Linked DNA regions of Nothobranchius furzeri. The protein of the gene in region 1 binds, or shares a complex with, the protein of each later gene. Links are inferred from orthologs where the notes say so. Each region holds a gene or a part of one and is shown on either strand. Other genes may lie near its edges. The genes, in order: ndufaf1 and tmem186.

Region 1 (4,378 bases):
GACACTTGTGTTAATTCCAACATCTGTCTATGTTTGACTTAGGGCCTCTGTTCAACATGACGGTCACAGAAAGGGTCCGCTTGAGTTAACAAGCCACTTTAAAACATCGTCTCCTTCCGTTCTAAATTAAGATTGTGGAAAAGCTGCTTCAAACCTGAACATCTAGATTAAAATGTGATTTCCTAATGTTGTGACTTGGCACACATATGGCAATAAAAACTTCTGATTCTGATTAATACACCGTTTATCTGTCTGTGGCATAGTCAAATTCTGCTTTTTATTCATGGTAATTGATCACAACTACATGCACATTGGGGAATAAAACTAGGCCAATCAAATATACAGCAACTCGATATGAAGAGATGGCACAATTATAACACTTGCATTTTATTTGTACTACCATATAGAAATGAAAAGCACTCAACGACTAATAATATATTGATGATTTAGTTAAAAATCAGCAGAAAACAATTACATAAACAACTCTAATTGCTCTTTACATCAATCAGGTTTCATCTGCGGTTAAAAATACCTTTTTATCAGTCATTTAAAAAGTTCCCCAGTAAACTTCCAGACTTGTTTATAGTCACGGCTTCTACACTAACCCGGTTTATGTGACCTAACGCGCTCCGGTTCTGTTATCTCTGCTTCTGCTCAGGACAAGCCGGGTTGTTCCAGGAGCTTGTCTCAAAGCGACATGTTTTACCTCCAGCACTTGTTTATCAACAACACCAAAATAGAACTTCAGCTCCGAGGTCATGACGTCGTTCACATACGGTTCGAGCTGAAATCAAATGCGGCTCTAGAACCGCATTGTCTGCGCTAACAAGTCTCACCATGGTAAAGTCTGTCACTGAGCAAAACATACCCCAACATAGCACCATCAAAGCCCTGCAGCTAGTGACTGGAAACCATTAGGAGGCCCATGGCGCGGTATTTTCATAACATAACATTGCATGATTGCTAGCATTAGGCACATCTCGTAAAGCAACCTAGCAGCGGAAACATTCTATAGAAGGCCCCGCTTAGCTGAATGCAATGCAGAAACACCCTGGGGGAAGACGTAGCATGTTAATAAGGTGTTTACTTTTAAAGGAAAATAATACTGGGCCACTTTCAGTCTTTCAGCGAGGCCAAACACAGCGCAACCAATTAGCATCCGCTAGCTACACCATAAAACTACTGACAACTTAAAGAGTCACTAGTAAATAATAAATTTGAAAAATGCCACTCTACCTCATCCAAGTTATCATCACTGGCGCTGTCTTCAGAGTCGGAATCAATCACGACTCGACCTTTCCGCTTCTTGACGTTCACCATGATTAGCCGCAGAGCTAACCCTACTAGCTACCCCTGTGTCGTTTAATGGTTGGGATTAGCTGCCGATGCTACTTAGCTGCTTGGTTCTCGCCATACAAAGACAATACCGAGCATGCGCGCACTGGCGTCACAACATGAAATAGATTCTCTAAATACACCTAAAACAATCATGCGATAGTTTATCTTTAATTATATTCACTTCTTGTCCATACAGCTTAAATTACTGAAGTAATCCAGCAATGAAACAAAAAGATTCAGCTAGATAGGAACCATAAGTCTGCGCCGAGTGCTTTTGTCAGGATACAAATTGGTGGTGCACCAGACCAAAGCTGCGTTCAAGAAGACTACAGCAGCTGTCCCGGTCCGCCTCGAATTTTTGCACCTTTTTAACCATAATGGTTGACTGTAGGTTGAACGCAGCTCAGGAGTTTCCGCTCAGCTTCATGCTTGGACCACAAACAACCTTGGATCTGTGAATACGAGGAAAAGAGCAGATTTCAGGTCGTCAGAGTTTCATAACAGTGTTGTATTATTGTTTTAAGGCGATAATATTAAACTGTATAAAGTTTACGACCCTCTTACGTACCCGGCGAAAAACAACGTTGACAAACGTAAGTATGAACGAATTATTTGCTGTACAAAAAAATTCTGTCAGGAACATCTGGAGCAAAATTTATGTATTTTTCTAAAATTTAGATTGCAATTATAACAACTGTTAGAAACAAATGTAAACATTTTATTTGAAAGTTAAACAGAAATGTCCATTATTTTCAAGCTATGCTTTGGAATAAATTCAGATATAAGCAGGGTAAATATGTAATTTAAAAAATACATACACGTGATTATATCAGATAATCTTATGCAAATGTAACTTATGTTCTGCCACATAAAACACATTTTCTTTGAAAGAGCTCATTAAAACACTAAGATTGCTGTATTTACATCTTGCTAGTCATATTCTATTGTCACCTGTATAACTCAATATTAATGGAACCATTTCCTGTGTGATCCATCCCAGTAGTCACCAGGTTGAAGATGTCTCTCCCAAAAGTTTCCCATCTCCCGCCGTTGAGGTTGCTGAGCTCTATCCATAACCCACATCTGCTCCTTTGCTCCATCGCTCCTCCATCTGTTCCCAGAAGAACTTTGAGCCAGAGTGGATATCGGCGGCCTGGCAAAACGAGAGATGACAGGCTCCCGTGGCAGAAGATCGACTTTGACTTTTGGAAGGGTGTGGAGGGTATAAAGAAGCACTTCAAACTGCTGAAACAAGAGCTCACTGACCCTTTGATTGGTCCAGAGGGCAAACCAATCCTGGAGCACATGAAGGAGCAAAACCGGGTGGTATGGGAATTCAGAGGCCCCGAGAGCCTGGCGGGGTGGACGGTTTCTTGCGATAAAGAGATTGGAGGTCAAAGTGAAGTTTACCTAAAGCTTGGAAGGAACGACACGTGTTTTCTGTATGGGACCCTCAATTCTGCTCCTCCGAAAGATGGAGAAACGCGCTACAGCGGATACTGCACCATGCGCTCAAAGCAGCCTCTGGTCAGCGCTCGCCGTAGATTTTTCTGCCATTGATGAATACCTCTGGACTTTTAAATTCACTCTAAACTTTTTGTCTCTTCTAGGCATCCTTTGACAGAAAAAAGCACTTTGACTGGTCCAGTTTTAACACCCTGCACCTGCGGATCCGTGGTGACGGCCGCCCGTGGATGATTAATATCGCAACTGAAAATTATTTCTCTCATCAAAAAGACGACCTTTACACCTACTTCCTGTTCACCAGAGGAGGACCTTACTGGCAAGATGTAAAGGTGAGCTGATGCACTTTTAAGCCCTAGACTGATTAACTCACTAACACTTTTTATTTTTGGCAGATACCCTTCTCCAAGTTCTTCATCACACATCGAGGGAGGATACACGACCAACAGCATCCTCTGTGGCTGGACAAGGTATCATAAAATCACAACAAAATACCAAAGACAAGAAAATAACGGACACACACGAGAACTGTACTTCATGTACCATGACCTGCAGCTGGCATATTGAATATAATTGTCTTTCTGAGATTTATTTAGACTTTGGCTTATATTTTCAGATTAATACCATCGGGTTCACCCTGGGAGACAAAGCAGACGGCCCTTTTCAGCTTGAGATTGATTTTATTGGCGTCTGCAAAGATTACGCTCACACAGAGGACTTCGCTTACGAGATGTACAAGAGGAACCCAACAGCTTAGGGGCCACCACAACGCAGCGTTTAAACCGTTAAGCAGCCAATTAAATACAGATGTGTGGAAATTCCTCGTCTTCACTTTTTTTTTTTTTTGCATTTCTGGTCAATTTTAAAACACAAATCGGTTAAGGGGATCAAACGGTTGTTGCTGTTGATCTTTTACAAGTTAAACAGACACTCTTGCTGCTTCTTAATTTTCCCGTTTAGTTTAAATGACTTCTCTCAGTAAAACAGCAAAGTGATTTCCATGTGAGAGTTTTTTGTTGTTTTATTGTAAAAGCAATAATAAAAGCATTCAAGAGACATTTTATTAAAGCACAACAAATCTTTTAGGTCACCATTTTAATCCAAATATTCATCTCAAAATGGAAAACAATAAGTAAAAGTTTTTACTACAAAAGGATAAAAATGATTATTATAAACAAACAAATCTACAAGCTGAGTAAAGCAGACTGAATCCATGTTCTTACAACTGGCTCAGGAGAGCACGGATGTCTAAATTATTTACATGAGAACAGGAAGCTTGAGAAAAATGCAAAAGCGTTTCTATTCCATGACCAGGCCTCTCCTCGCTCCGAGCAGTTTTGTTTTCTTCTGCTTCCGGTCCTCTGCTAGTATTGCCCTCCGGTCGTCCCTGTAAACACGACACGGATCAGCCTCAGGAGGCGCTTTACAGGCAGATTGTTGTGATGAGAATTTCTCTCAGGCTCACCTGGACTGCACCTTGTGTTGTTTGTAACTTTCCTGACGCGAATTGGAGATCAGAGATTTGTTTGCAGATGCATTTTCTTTAGCATCTCCAAATGGCTTCAGTTTGCCTGCA
Region 2 (3,518 bases), on another chromosome or scaffold:
TGAAAATTTGATCTGGCTGAGACGTCCCGACCCATTGGTGGTCCGATCCACAGTCTCATCGTGCATCAGTATTGGGACCCCATCAGCGGAGAACTCCAGGTCTAACTCCACACCAGTTGCACCATTCTTACTGGCCTGCAGGTAAAAGCATTGGAGAACCAAGTCACCGTGAGCCAAAAAAGTAGATGCATTAAAATATCACATTATAAACATTTTGACGTGTGTCGTACACACTTTGGTTTAGTTCATTTGAAAATAAGCACGTTTAGATTTCAATCTCCTTAAATGGTTAGATAGTGCAAATGTAACCTGGGAGAGCTGTATCACACTGTGTGTGTGTGTGTGAGTGTGTGTAAATTGTGTGGGTGCAGCACTGGGCCGATTGGGGGAAGCTCAAGTCATCGTCACTACCTTCATACATGTTGGTTTGGTGAAGACAATTCAACTTCCCCCTGGATTTGAACTGGTCTCCCTGCCCTGTTTTGTAGGCACAACCTGCACAGACCGAGCTTTTATTTGGACTTTTAGCTTTTGCAATCTTTAATAAATTATCTATTTTTGAAGCGATCCGATTCTGTGCTTCATTGCCCACATTAATGCTGGTTGGTCAGACTCACTTCATGTAACATCTTGGGGGCTGATCTGCGGGTGTTACACAAATGTGTATTAAAGTGGAGGTATTACATTTTTAATCAATGACTAACTAAATCTCGCCATTAGAAGAAACAGCCGCTCTAGGTCGTGTGAAGGTTAACGGTTTAACGTCTTCCCTCCCCAGTGTCCCTTCTCACCTCCCGTATGGCTGCTATTGTGTTCTCCGGTGCGTCGTGTCCTCCGCCCCGGTGAGCGATCACAGACACCTTACCGCTGCCCACTGCACGGGAGTCTGGATGCAACACCTGCCGGGCTCGGCTGGTCGTCACCTGCGGGAACCGAAACATGGCTAGAAAGAAGTAGAGGGAAGCGGTGAGGACAGCCGACCACACCGGACTCCGCGTCCCCAGCAGGACCACCACGAGGACAAGTGAGTAGAGGGTGACTTCATCTCCCAGCTGAAGCATTGTAGACGACTTCTTGGGTTCACGAGCGCAGATTTTCTTCAGTTTGACATTTTCTTTCCTGTTAAGCTATTTTTCTTGGTTAAAAACGCGATGTTTCACACACATCCATGCTCCGTGTTATATTCTGACAGCAGCTATTAAGTGGAGCATTAAACCACATCTAAGCCGGAGAAAGCTAGAAACTGCTAGGACGGTTGAGCCGCTGAACGACCAAACGGGAGGACAACATTTCAGGTGGCACGTCGTAACGGCTGTGACCGGATGTTACGTAAAACAGGCGCGACCTTTGTCAAAGTAAACCAATAAAACTAACTCGTTATTTCACGAATCACACATTCAATGACATTTATTCTTCTACACTAAAACAACTGTAAATCCCACTTTGCTGGAGAACATATCTCGGAGGCTTGAAATATATTTCATTAAGTGGGGAAAACATTTTTCGACGGACCGAAACACATCTCGGCGCATCCCCGGATGTGGTTCTAAATAGGTTCGCTACATGCCGTTTGCAGCTCTTATTCAGTGTGAACAATTTCATACATTTTTTAAATTAAAATGTATACTTTACTAATGTTTCTAATGTGAGGAGAGTAAACGAGATCTTTAGGAACACACGGTTGTAACATCCGGGTCACAAAGCTGGACGTCTTCATGCCAAAAGTGGACTTGGGACTATTTTTGACTTTACCTGTGAATTAACCAGTCGTTGGCCATGGTGAGCATCATAGTGAGACTATTAATATTACTGTTATTACAGTGTTATCAAATTCAAAGGAATTGGTGGATCAAATAGATCAAACAATCCTACCCGCGAAATGCCCTTGAGCTTGATTTGATTCAGCTAGGAGATTAATTTGACCTCATTCTGAATAAGGGTTAACAGTTTTAATGTAAAACAGATCGAGACTTTATTCTGCTGTTAATATTTGGCTCAATTAGGTGACTGCATATTGCCTGACTGAATGTCGTATTTAATGTTTTTTTTCCCCCACAGATCAGGTCGATGTTGCTGAGCAGATTAACCCACCACACCCTGTCCTGCACAAGAGGATCATGTTTACTCTCTGGACGAGTGTCTAATGGTTTACAGTCTCATTTTTCAGGTCATACACCCATCCATCAGACCTCCCATGGACCCCTCACTCCTAAAATCACAACCTCCGTCAGATACTCAGACCTATCCACGCAGAAATTCTCTATGATTTACACGCTGCCACACATTAAGCTTCTCAGAGTCGTGTCCAGGCTCAAACTGCTCCAAACTGCAATCACTGCGGTCATCATTCCACCCATGTATTTCCTTTACTTCCAGGGTGACGTGTCCTTCTTTCTAGTATGCTACTCTACGGGGATTGCACTGTTTGCTGGTGTCATGCTGTATACTATGAGTCACTTCTTTAGAAGGGTTGTGGGGATGATGTACCTGGATCCATCCCAGACCACACTCAAAGTTTCTCACCTCACTTTTTGGGGCAAGCGTCAAGACACCTACCTACCCGTGTCAGACGTTTTGACCATCTGGGACACAGGAGACATGGAGAATGAGACCATACTGAAACTGAAGAGATACAGTAGTCCAGAGACAATGTATTTTTCTACTTATTACGGACGCGTTGTTGACAAGCAGGGCTTTGAGAGAGTGTTTGGGAGGCTAAAATAATTCTTCATTCAAAATGTGATCAACTAAATCACTGCTTTCAAGTATTGTAATAAGATCCAACAAATATACAAAAATATCCTGTTTTGAAATAAATGATTCAATTTCAATGTTTTCATTTCTTGATTTAAATAAATGTGACTAATGAGTGTCTGACTCTAGCCTCTTTACCTGGCCAGGTGAGTCGGACAGGTAAATGTTTTGATGTGTTTAATATCTGATGGCTCTGCAGAGTGGATCTATTCCCTTTACTGTTGATCTTATTGGTCCATTAGAGGTCTGAATGTGGTCATAAAACCCCCCTGGAGTTTTAGAGGAATCCTGCAGTTGAGTTTTCTTCCAACCTGATCATCCTGCATGGAAATGTGACTATTGATAAATTTTATTTGGAAAATCTATAATTTTTTGGGTTTCTTAATAGAATTCTATATGTTACAGATAAAAAAACTAATATTGTGAAGCAGACTGATTATGGTCTCGTACACAAGTTATAAAAAATTTAAGTTGACAAATTACAAATATCAGAGACACTGCAGTGAGGCATTTTCAATTAAAACATTTTCAGCTATTTGTAACATACATCTTTAGACAAAAACATCTAATCAGTTCTTCCAATAAACATTCAAATAATTACAAGATAAAATCCATGCATTTGAGTTTCCTGTATAGGAAATTTTCTCCAAACTCATCAGAAACACTTTTCCATTGCAACTCAGTCAAAAAAATAAAGCAAAATTATGCTGCAGATTTAAAATGCACTGGTAATAAGCTTTTATCAAACACGAGGGTCAATTATT

The links.
Region 2: ndufaf1 (region 1) and tmem186 share a complex: the UniProt entries of both Homo sapiens proteins name them as parts of the mitochondrial complex. The link is inferred for Nothobranchius furzeri from reciprocal best matches to the Homo sapiens genes NDUFAF1 and TMEM186.

Annotation. Positions count from the first base shown.
Region 1 is NC_091758.1:19,029,055-19,033,432, forward strand, and holds ndufaf1 (complex I intermediate-associated protein 30, mitochondrial), read left to right. Parts: upstream 1-1,729; 5' UTR 1,730-1,931; intron 1,932-2,338; 5' UTR 2,339-2,355; coding exon 2,356-2,865; intron 2,866-2,948; coding exon 2,949-3,134; intron 3,135-3,197; coding exon 3,198-3,272; intron 3,273-3,418; coding exon 3,419-3,559; 3' UTR 3,560-3,870; downstream 3,871-4,378. Other genes in the region: RNA polymerase-associated protein RTF1 homolog, read right to left, coding at 1,237-1,320; nusap1 (nucleolar and spindle-associated protein 1), read right to left, coding at 4,102-4,189, 4,268-4,373. UniProt on the Homo sapiens protein: As part of the MCIA complex, involved in the assembly of the mitochondrial complex I.
Region 2 is NC_091744.1:5,453,074-5,456,591, reverse strand, and holds tmem186 (transmembrane protein 186), read left to right. Parts: upstream 1-1,513; 5' UTR 1,514-1,776; coding exon 1,777-1,779; intron 1,780-2,058; coding exon 2,059-2,724; 3' UTR 2,725-2,870; downstream 2,871-3,518. Other genes in the region: gde1 (glycerophosphodiester phosphodiesterase 1), read right to left, coding at 1-135, 792-1,061. UniProt on the Homo sapiens protein: As part of the MCIA complex, required for efficient assembly of the mitochondrial complex I.